Linked DNA regions of Oryctolagus cuniculus. The protein of the gene in region 1 interacts with the protein of each later gene in a biochemical or structural test. Links are inferred from orthologs where the notes say so. Each region holds a gene or a part of one and is shown on either strand. Other genes may lie near its edges.

Region 1 (3,650 bases):
ACGCAGCACTGCTGTATCAGGTAAACATGTGCACAGGGGAAGATGAGGCGTGGGCTCATAGAAAGCAGTCAAATGGAAACCAAAAGGACTTTCTCTTTCAGAGTTCCCCTATCTTTATTTGTAGAGGTTATCCAATAATTTCGTTAATTACATCGCATACTTCTGAGTCCATTCCCGAGCTATTCTGTTGTACCTGTACACACAAAGAGAAGCTTAGCTTAACAACAGTGAGATGTCAATTAGTTCACAACAGGTTTCATTCATTATCTTATCTAGTATTGTGAGGGGAATAACCCACAAAATACTCAGGCAAAGCCACTTTTACATCCCAAATTTTTAATAAGCACTTATTCAATAATATAGGACACAGCTAAAAAATGCAAACAATTTGCTGTAAATGCCACTTACAGGATTCTGATTAATTTTAGCATTTGCTGGCATACACCATATTATATATTTGATCGATGTATTTCTAAGAAATAGGTTCAACTCTTGATTCGATTATTTGAGATTCTTGAAAATATGTAATTCTACACTATATGGTTCTTGAAATCATATACTAATAATGTGCCAACGGACGTAATACTTCGCTTTATATCAATAAAACACTGGTTCTGGCAGAACTTAATTTCAACAATTTGTGCTTGACAAAATGAATAGGCATTTTGCTCCAGAAGAACATTTGAGTAGAAAAATACATGAAGAAAAACATTCCGTAATTCCTCTCTTTTTAGAGATGCAGGAAAGTTCTACGGAACATTATTACAATTAATTAGGAAATGCCATTCAAGTCCCCAGCTCTAGACACTGGACTACAGTTCTCCAATCAAAAAACATTTGTGAATAAATCCACAAATAGAAAAAAGTATAATACAATTTTATTCCAAATAAGCACATGGCAGAGAAAAAATTAGGATAATAGATAATACAGAAAAACAAACAAAAACTAAGAACCCATAGCTATTAGAGTTCCCCGTTTGCAAGTGTAGCTTCATTAAAGAAAAATCCTACTGGTGTCTCTCTCTAAGCCAATAGAATTTAAGTACTTCTCTATTCTTTTAACTAAAAAAAAAAAAAAAAGAAAAGAAAAAACTACCAGCCTCTCCCATCTAGTTTTTCTTATAATCTCACTGAATAATACATAACAAAAATGGTTAGAACACTTTTAGTTACTCTCTTTTGATATCCAGACCACTCTTCAATAATTCAGTCTGACTCTAAAACATCTAAATTGTTTGTCACATTTTATTTTTAAAAGAAATGTGGGCTTTCATGTCTAATGGCATTTACTTACTTTTTTCCTTTAGATTATGCCAAATGGTAGAAAATCAATTCCCTTTTCCCATTAATTTACAAATACCTACATAAGAAAATGGGCACTTGACACAAAATGTTTCATGTATCCAAAGCCAAACATACAACATAAAGCTGTTGGAGAATACACTGTAAAAAAGTTTTTCTAGATAGTAGGAGCCTTATGAAAGCAAGATTAAAAACAGTATCATCCACTGATAAAGATACTTGTGCAAATATTCCTTTTTCCTGTCCGTGGGGAAGTTTATTAGGACTTCATTTTAAGAATCTTGTAAGAAAGATTTGAGACAAACATCTCAATCCCACTTTGTACACTTTCTGTCTAGAGGCCATACTTACTTTTCTCTATCTGTTTTGTAGATCCGAGCAATCTCAGGCACTAAAGGATCATCTGGATTGGGATCACACAACAGAGAACAGATGGACAAGAGGACTAGAATGAAACAAATGTATTCATTAGTAGAGGATAAAAGCAAAGGGTGGAGAGAAACATGAGAAGTCATCACCTGAGAAAATTCTGAAAACCTACTATACTTTAGTGCCTAGCAGCTATATAAATTCTGCCTTGCTTGTATAACAGTGGTCAACAAAGAATTTAAAATCTTATACAGATTTCAAGTTGTCACCTAAAAATAAAAATGAAAACAAAAAGAACAAAATTAATGGTAAATGATAAATGACAGGCCGGCGCCGCGGCTCACTAGGCTAATCCTCCGCCTAGCGGCGCCGGCACACCGGGTTCTAGTCCCGGTCGGGGCGCCGGATTCTGTCCCGGTTGCCCCTCTTCCAGGCCAGCCCTCTGCTGTGGCCAGGGAGTGCAGTGGAGGATGGCCCAGGTGCTTGGGCCCTGCACCCCATGGGAGACCAGGAAAAGCACCTGGCTCCTGGCTCCTGCCATCGGATCAGCGCGGTGCGCCGGCCGCAGCGCGCCGGCCGCGGCGGCCATTGGAGGGTGAACCAACGGCAAAGGAAGACCTTTCTCTCTGTCTCTCTCTCTCACTGTCCACTCTGCCTGTCAAAAAAAAAAAAAATAAATAAAAAAAAAAAAATGATAAATGACATCTTGGTCACTCACACAAGAATATAAGACTCTTTGTTCAAAGTCTTATATTCTATGAAGTTAGAAAAGAGAAAGACAAGAAATGTGTGACTAAACTCCCAAGGAAGCCAGCCTAGACAGAAGTGACTGGTCCAAAGTCCTTAACTAGTAACTATAATGTCTTCCAAATATTAAACCAATAACACTTTTGAAAGCTCAATTTTTAGAAGCTCATGTTCAGGGAAAAATGGCTTTCAAAATTACAAATCTAGCCCCACTACTGTATACTCTTAGGTAAAACTGATAATCACAAAATCCAACAATGTTTTCTGTATGGTAGGTAGCACTTTTAGATACAACAGATTTGCTTAGTTTTCAGTTGAAAACAATTTAGTCTAAGCCAAGAACATAAAGGCCATTGGATCAGGCACTGTGATACAGCAGATTAGGCCGCTACTTGGGGTGCCTCCATCAAATATCACAGTGTCAGTCTGAGTCCCAGCTACTCCCTTCCCACACAGATTCCTGCTAATATGCCTGGGAAGGCAGCAACAGATGATCTAAGTACTTGGATCCCTGCCACCCCTATGTGGGAGACCCTGAAGGAGTTGGCCAAGCCCTGGCTTTTGTGGGCATTTGGGGAGTAAACCAGCAGGTGGAAGATCTGTCACTCTTTCAAATAAATAAATTAAAAAAAAATTTTAACAAAAAAGGCCCGTGCTGGAGCCAGCACTGCCATCTGTAGTGCCTGCATTCCGTGAGTGCCTTTCTGAGTCACAGCTGCTCCTCTTCCAATACAGCTCCCTGCTAATGGGCTTTGGTAAAGTAGCAGAGGATGGCCAAGTCCTTGGGCCGCTGTACTCACAAGGCTCCTGGCTTGCAACTGGCCCAGTTCCTGCGGTTGAGGCCATTTGCAGGGGGTGGGGGTGGGGATGGGGGAGTGGACCAATGGATGGAAGCTCACTTGCCCGCGCGCTCTCTCATCCTCAGCCTTTCTGTAACTTTTTTTTTAAAGATTTATTTAATATTTATTTGAAAGGCAGAGTTGGAGAGAGGCAGAGGCAGAGGCAGAGGCAGAGGCAGAGGCAGAGGCAGAGGCAGAGGCAGAGGCAGAGGCAGAGGCAGAGGCAGGCAGAGAGAGAGAGAGGTCTTCCATCTGCTGGTTCATTCTCCAGATGGCCACAATGGCCAGAGCTGGGCTGATATGAAGCCAGAAGCCAGGAGCCAGGAGCCAGGAGCTTCTTCTGGGTCTCCCACACGGGTGCAGGAGCCCAAGGACCTGGGCCATCTCCTACTG
Region 2 (3,650 bases), on another chromosome or scaffold:
GAGCCACGGCGCTGGCCTATAGTTCCATTTCCAAACTTTTCTGAACCAATTTTTTTTTTTAAGAATTATTTATTTGAAAGGCAGAGTTGGCAAAGGCAGAGAGAAAGGGGGGAAGAGATCTTCCATCCATTGGTTTTGTGGTATTGTGCCAAATGGGCACAATACCTAAAGATGGGCCAGTCTGAAGCCAGGAGCTTCTTCTGGGTCTCCCCTGTGGGCCATTTGCTACTGCTTTCCCAGGTCATGGCAGAGAGCTGATTCGGAAGTGGAGTAGTCTGGACTTGAACCAGCGTCCACATGGAATGTCAGCAGCACAGGCAGCAGCTTTACCCACTATGCCACAGCGCCGGCCCGTGAACCAGTTTTATCTTACCAACACATTCTGCCTCAGGCGGTAGTGAGCCCTAAGTGCCACTCACTCTCTGTGTAATAGCCTAAATTGTTTCTTCCAAATTTGAGGACTCAAATTTGCCTTAGTCCTCGTGTTCTGGGATTCATTCAGTCCACGAGATGGCACTTTGGCAGGAAGTTTTCTGGGAGAGCTCTACTTGAGGGCTGCCTGTGGACTGGGGAGCTCGGTCAGTGTGCTCTCTCCCACTTCACCTTCAGCCTCTTCACTTTCTCCTCTTCCCTTTCTCTGCTGTGCGTTTTACAGGGGGAGCGGTGCCATCAGGCCTAGAGGAGAACCTGTGTAAGATCTGCATGGACTCACCCATTGACTGTGTTTTGCTGGAGTGTGGCCACATGGTTACCTGTACCAAGTGTGGCAAGCGCATGAATGAATGTCCCATCTGCCGGCAGTATGTGATCCGAGCTGTGCACGTCTTCCGGTCCTGAGGGCTTGCATCGGCTTCTTCAGTGCCTTACAGGGACACAGCCCAGGACGTGGGCCAGGGTTGGCCAGCTCACAGAGGGGCAGGCTGACAGAAGAAAATCTGCAGTGTTCCCAAGACCAGGGCAAGCAAAGATGTCGTGTCACCCCGGGCATCCCGTCTTGCGCCGGGGGTGTACCTCACGGCTGGCTGAGCTCCAGACCAGCGGGAACTGGTACAAATGACACGGTGAGTCCCTGTTTCAGCAGTCTCGGGTTGGTGATGGTAACAGATGAACAGAGGACTTGCCAGAACTTGGACCACGTCTTCTTCCCTTTCTGAGATCCTGGTTTCACCTCCTGTACCGCACCCCCTCCTGGAAATGCTCGCCTGTTTCAGCAGTCAGAAGTCCTGCTAGGAATGGTTGCCTTCTGCCCCAGCACATTTGGGTTTAAATTTCTGGTTTCTGGCTTTCTGTGCTTTAACCTACCTTTGCTGCAGTCTCTTGCTACATTGCCTAAACTCCATTTGTTTCTTTGGACCAAAAATATGTTAGTTTACCAGACCAATAATTGTCCTCAGGACAGAATCTGGACCACTAAACTTACCTCTGGGGAGAAATGAAGCACAAATGCTATAGGAAATGTGAGTTAAAAGTTGCTGAAGTGCTGGGTGGGATTGGAAGCTAGGGGTCCTGACCTGATGCTGCGCGCCAACAAAGCATCTGGCTCGCAAACCTCTGGTCAATCCCAGTGTGTATGAAAGGGATGGTGCACGCCTCTTCTGGGGCCTGACTTTGCACTGCCCATCATGTCAGATGATGAGAGGGGCAGTGTTAGGTGGAGGTGGCAGCTCTCTGCTTCCCTCTGATGTCTGATCCCCCTCGTCCAGCAGGCAGGAATCTCAAACCACTTTGTTAAAGTTCCTGTCTTTCCCGTGGAGTTTTTAAACTTGGTCTCACTGAAAATGAAAGACTCAGGGAGAGCTCTGGTCTCTAGCCACACTTCTCATGCCGTTCTTGGAGACCAGACATGGACGAGCGCCTTGTAGTACAGGGAGGCACTAGATGACGCTGGATTCTGCCCGTGCACAGACAGGTTGGTCGCTCTGGCTGCCTCTCCCAGCCTGCTGATCTGGGACAAGTCGGGGAGGACATGAGTAGGCGAGTCCTCACAGTCCACTGAGGCTGATGGAAGGGCTTCAGAAAAGCTTAAAAGTTGAGCAAAGCACAGCACCTCTGCTAACAGAAGCGCTGTGTGAGCCTCCATCACCAGGGGATGAACTAGGCAAACTACACAGCTGAGGGCCTCGGGAGCCCCCCCCGCCCCCCGCCCGTACCATATACACACCCTGTGCAACCGAGACTGATGAGAACCAGCCGACTCAGAGTGGAAGGCAGTGGGACCCCTCTGAGGGGACCTGTTACACTGGTACATACTCATGCCTGCCCTCCATCAACCACTTACCCCTTTGTGGGGATGAAATGTTGTCATAAAGCAGCTGTCAAACACTAGGCTACTTCCCTTAACATCATAGAGTTCTGGGATACATTGACTCGGCCACAGCCTTGCACATTTTCCCATGAAGGTATCCTCTTTCCCTTATGTTGGACAGTGAATAATGTAGTTTACAATGCCTACCAATTTAGCAAAGGGTCACTTATTCAGCCACTCCTCGATTCTACTGTGAAACAGGTCTATGTATGTGCAACTCAGTTAAGATCTAGCAATAACTTCAGGGCAGAAGCTGGCTCTCTCCCTTATAACTTCCTTTTCCTGCTGAGGCCTTAACTCCCCTACCTCCCAGATACAAGTGGAAGGTAAGATGGGTACTGATAGCTGGGTAATAACCAGTCAGAACTAGGTCACTCATCGTGTAGAAAGAACTTGCCTTTTGATCTTTTATCCTCTACTGGTGAAGGGTCTCGTTTAGGAAAAAAGGTGTCAAACAACTCTGGTTTTTAAATATTTTTTTTGTATTTATTATTATACCAAATAAAAGTTGGGAATTCCAAGATCCCATTCCAGTTAATATCCAACCCAGGTAGAAAACTTTTATTAATTTTTTTTAATCCTTGAATCTTTGATCCTGCCCCTCTTGGATCCTTGGTCTTAATTATTATGGAAACATCTAATTCTTCCAATAATTCCATGGCTTTTGCTGTGACTGCGCTGAGATTTCGGTTGAGACATGAGTGGTTCATGATGCATTGGACTAGTTGGATCCAAATTATTAAGAGTAAGCTGTATAGAAATTAATACTCAATATATATTGTAAAATTTGTTGAAATCTCTTGGATGTGAATGTGTTACTTCAAGTGGCTTATATTAAGAATCTCAGACTGACTTGGGTGTTAAAGCAAACCCAAATATGTATTTTTTTGTTACAGAGCTCAGCTTTATAATTTTGTAATAAAGTGTCAACATAGATGCCTGTCCAATCCTGTGTGAGGGTGATCCCAGAAGTCTGCTGGCTCTGGCCGACAGAATTGACCAATCAGGCAGACCCCAGGCCCTGCATACACGGCCATGCTCTTCAGAGACTGCATTGCTTTTGGAGATGCTTGGCTATGTGGACTTGGTCAAGAGCTCCCTGCTCAGTCTCTTTATGGCCTGCCCAAGATCTCACAGAGAAGTATGTGGGAAAGGCCATGCAACAGCATGTAAGAGTGGGAGCTGATGGGAAGATCAAGTGGGAAGAAGCACCAAGCGAGTTGAGACATTTCCATTGGTCTAGCAGAGATGGGCCTTAAACTCTAGGTAGGAAAGAGTCTGAGGACAGCTACTGTGTCCGGTTTTGTCTGCAGGCTACTCTGAGCTTTTGGATAGCTGTGCTACA
Region 3 (3,426 bases), on another chromosome or scaffold:
CTAAAACCCAGCATGCTGCCACAGCCTCTTACCACCAATACAGCAGTCTTCCTGTAAACACCTTGGTATCTTTTCCTAAGAGGTGTAGTACCAAACACATTTGGCCTAGTAACTTACCCAGCCTCAGAATACCGAACGCACTGTGGTACCCCTGCTGGTAAACAGTAGCTAAAGCCCAAAAAACACCCAGGAAACATGCATGAGGTGTGCAATGCAGCCAACGCTGCAGGTAAGCCCAGATCTACCCACCCACAGGTTGCATAAGGCCCACAGAATCATTTGGTCAATAGCGGGCCAATTTTTGATAATTTTGTAATGGCTTGTAAATGATATAAACATCCCAAAGGCCCTTGACAGAAAACAGGCCTCCCGTCCCTGCTCCTTTTACCCTGTGACCCTCCCAACACCAGGTCCAAGAAAGATGCTCTTCCCAACCACGAGCACCCAGGTGAGTTCAGACTGGGGACAAGGTTAACTGATGGGTTAGGGTTAAGAGATGAAGCAACCAGGCCCCAGGACCATGGTCCCCCACCAGCAAGGCCTGAGGAACTGGTGTAGTTTTTATTAAATCCACAGAAGTAAAAACCATTATCGTGAGGGGCTAGGGAATGGGGCCACCAGGGAGAAGGAATCAGGCCACCAGGGGTGGGGGCGTGGGGGTGGGCAGAGGGTAAAGGATAGAGAACAGAGAGCCACACTGGGCAGGCCACGGCGGGGGGGGGATGGGTCCCAGGCTCAGGGGCCATCACCAGGGCCAGACAGATCCTGGGAACTCAGGCCAGCACCAGGCAGGCTCAGTGGCGGAGGCTCCACCAGCACAGCAGAGAACTTGGTATCACCAAAGGCCTCGTTCATGCGTGTCTCGAAGAAGCGCTGCAGGCCGATGATGGACTGCACGTCCGCCTTGTCCTGGGCCAGGCAAGGGTACAATGAATGGTTGGGTTCTGGCTCTTCACCTCCCTCAACCCCTGCACCCCCATTCCATGAGCTCACCTCAGTCAACTTGTTGAATTGCTTGAACATGCGGCCCACATCCTGGGCAAATTCCTGCGGGGAGCTGTAGGGGGGCGACAACTTCTCCTGGAGACGTGCACGGATCAGTGTCAGGTCCAGGGTGCCACCAGGCTGGTCCTGTAGGAAGACCACACGCGGTTAAGATGAGAAACAACAGTCCCCATCTTTCCAGCCACCCCACCCCTTTATAGGGCTCACCAGGGAGAAGGTAGAGTCAGTAGCCAGCTGATGCAAGGGACGACAGGGTTCGTGGCAGAACAGGGCCAGCAGGACTCGCTCACATTTCTACAGACAGTATATGAGGGAGAATGTCAGCTGCATGGGATGGGAAGGTCACAGTCTCTGGGTAACCACACCCGAGCAGCCGCAGTCCTCACCCGCTGATTGGCTGGCGAGAGCTTCGCCACCACGCCAGTGCTGTCTGCGCCATCCAGGCTGAGGCTGCCATCCTCCTCCTTCAGATCAGGGAGCACATGACAGAGCGAACAGCTCCACTCCTCCCTAGGGTGAAAAGAATGAGGCGCTGCACAGGAACCTGCCCAGCCCTCTGCACCCTGCCCAGCCCCACACGCACCCTGGCACATCCTGCAGGGCAGGCAGGTGGCAATCCAGATGGAAGCAAAACTCGCACTGGTTGCACATGACCAGGTCACCTGGCTTCTGGCAGACACGGCAGATGGTAGCACTATCATCCAGGGTGCCCGGGCCACCAGATGGGGCTGAGGTGCCCTCAGGAGCCACCACCTCCAAGCCTGAGCTGGTGCTGCCACTGGGTGAGGCCAGGCGGGGGCCCTCAGTGCCAGGGCCTTCTGCCAGAGCCATCAGCACAGGCTTGGTCTCCGGGCCCTCAGTGGCAGCAGGAGGTGCTCCAATAGCAGCCTCTGTTTCCTCCTCCTGCAAAGTGGTCAAATGTTCCGTAAGGTACAGACACGAGGGTGACAGGTATCATCCTCCAGCCACAGCCCTTGGGGACACACTCACCTTGACAATAGCCATGCCAGGGAGTGGTGGTGCACCAGGAGTTCCTGGAGGTGCAGTCCCAGGCTGCCCAGCTGCTGCAGCAGCAGCACCACGTTCAATAACGATGAGATTATAGTCCTCAGTGGTGCTGCCTGGAAACACCTTGAAGACAGGCGGCTGGCTATCAGCTGTGAGGTCCAGGTCCAGACGTTCTAGGCTGACCCGTGGCACCTTGCGCATGAGGCCGCTCACCTCACCCTCACCTGAGCGGGACCTGTAAGTGCATACTGGCGTGAGCTCCCTTTACTCTCATTCTTTCCCATCTACCACCACAGAGAACTCACACTCACCGCTTCACACCTGACACATGAGGCTCCGCACTTGAGTAGGGATCATCTGCTCAAGAGATGGAAAAAGACGGATGAACGGCTGATGTGTAGCCAGGGCACTGGGCTCTCCCACCCACCAGGCAGACTCACTCACCTGACCCAAAGCCATAGCTTTCCTGCACCTCCATGGGCTGTACACAGAACAGAGCATGGGGACCTCAGTGGGGCAGGTACAGCATGCGACTCCGTGCACTTCCCCTCCCTGGGTCCATTCCCCCGCTCACCTGGCTACTGCCAGAGCCCTGCTTGCTCAGGGGCCCTGGGGCCCTCGGAGGTGCCATGGGTGCAGGGCCTGTAGAGTTGGTACCAGGACGCTCTGCCACGATCTTGCCTGCAAGAAGAGACTATGTAGGTGTACCATTAGGGTGGCGACAAAGTAGAACAGGGACAAAAAACGGGGACCCACCAAAGGCCTCAGCACTCTTGGTCCAGGCATTGAGGTCCCACTGAAACTTCATCTCGCCATGTGGCTCCACGGGATCCACAATCATCTTGAGGGCCCGGTGCAACTGGAAGTAGATCTGGTGGGGCAAGCGGGAAGGGGCATGAAGCAACATGGGAAATGAACAGGGCTAGAGGGTGTTGGGGTTCCCACCTGTGAACCCACCAACACATACCAGCTTCTTAGAGAGCAACAGGGCTGTGTTGTTGTCACTCTCCAGAGCCCAAGAGGCAAAGCGCAGGATGTGCTCCTGGTGCTTCTGGATCTTAGTCATGGTCCAGTGCTGACGCTCCAGACGCTCCTGCTGACCCTCAGTCACCTTCTGCAGATGGAAAAGGTCAGCAGGGCAGTAAGACAGACACTGGGATCCCTGCCCACTCTGCATGGCACCAGCAGCCAGCAGCGGCTACCCAAGGACCCTCCCACCCACACGAGGATTACCTGGGCGTCGTTGACCAACACACGGCCCCGCTTGTTCAGCTCCTTCATGATCTGCAAGATGGCCATTTTGACATCCACCTGCACACGCTTCTGTACATCAGACACCTGGCGGATCCTAGGAGAAAAGGCAGGTCAGGGCAGGCAGGGTCTCGCCGAGAGAACCCCTCAGTCTTGGCACCC

Evidence for each region.
Region 2: the proteins of UBE2D2 (region 1) and RFFL form a complex in vitro, tested with the Homo sapiens proteins (2 studies listed by BioGRID). The link is inferred for Oryctolagus cuniculus from reciprocal best matches to the Homo sapiens genes UBE2D2 and RFFL.
Region 3: the proteins of UBE2D2 (region 1) and TRIM28 form a complex in vitro, tested with the Homo sapiens proteins (2 studies listed by BioGRID). The link is inferred for Oryctolagus cuniculus from reciprocal best matches to the Homo sapiens genes UBE2D2 and TRIM28.

Annotation. Positions count from the first base shown.
Region 1 is NC_091437.1:27,308,911-27,312,560, reverse strand, and holds part of UBE2D2 (ubiquitin-conjugating enzyme E2 D2), read right to left. Parts: intron 1,748-3,650; coding exon 1,654-1,747; intron 194-1,653; coding exon 148-193; 3' UTR 1-147.
Region 2 is NC_091448.1:39,272,468-39,276,117, forward strand, and holds the end of RFFL (E3 ubiquitin-protein ligase rififylin), read left to right. Parts: intron 1-655; coding exon 656-837; 3' UTR 838-3,241; downstream 3,242-3,650.
Region 3 is NC_091449.1:95,439-98,864, forward strand, and holds the end of TRIM28 (transcription intermediary factor 1-beta), read right to left. Parts: intron 3,362-3,426; coding exon 3,247-3,361; intron 3,128-3,246; coding exon 2,981-3,127; intron 2,885-2,980; coding exon 2,770-2,884; intron 2,695-2,769; coding exon 2,588-2,694; intron 2,495-2,587; coding exon 2,458-2,494; intron 2,371-2,457; coding exon 2,325-2,370; intron 2,249-2,324; coding exon 1,996-2,248; intron 1,909-1,995; coding exon 1,589-1,908; intron 1,516-1,588; coding exon 1,392-1,515; intron 1,300-1,391; coding exon 1,213-1,299; intron 1,132-1,212; coding exon 994-1,131; intron 910-993; coding exon 736-909; 3' UTR 547-735; downstream 1-546. UniProt on the Homo sapiens protein: Nuclear corepressor for KRAB domain-containing zinc finger proteins (KRAB-ZFPs).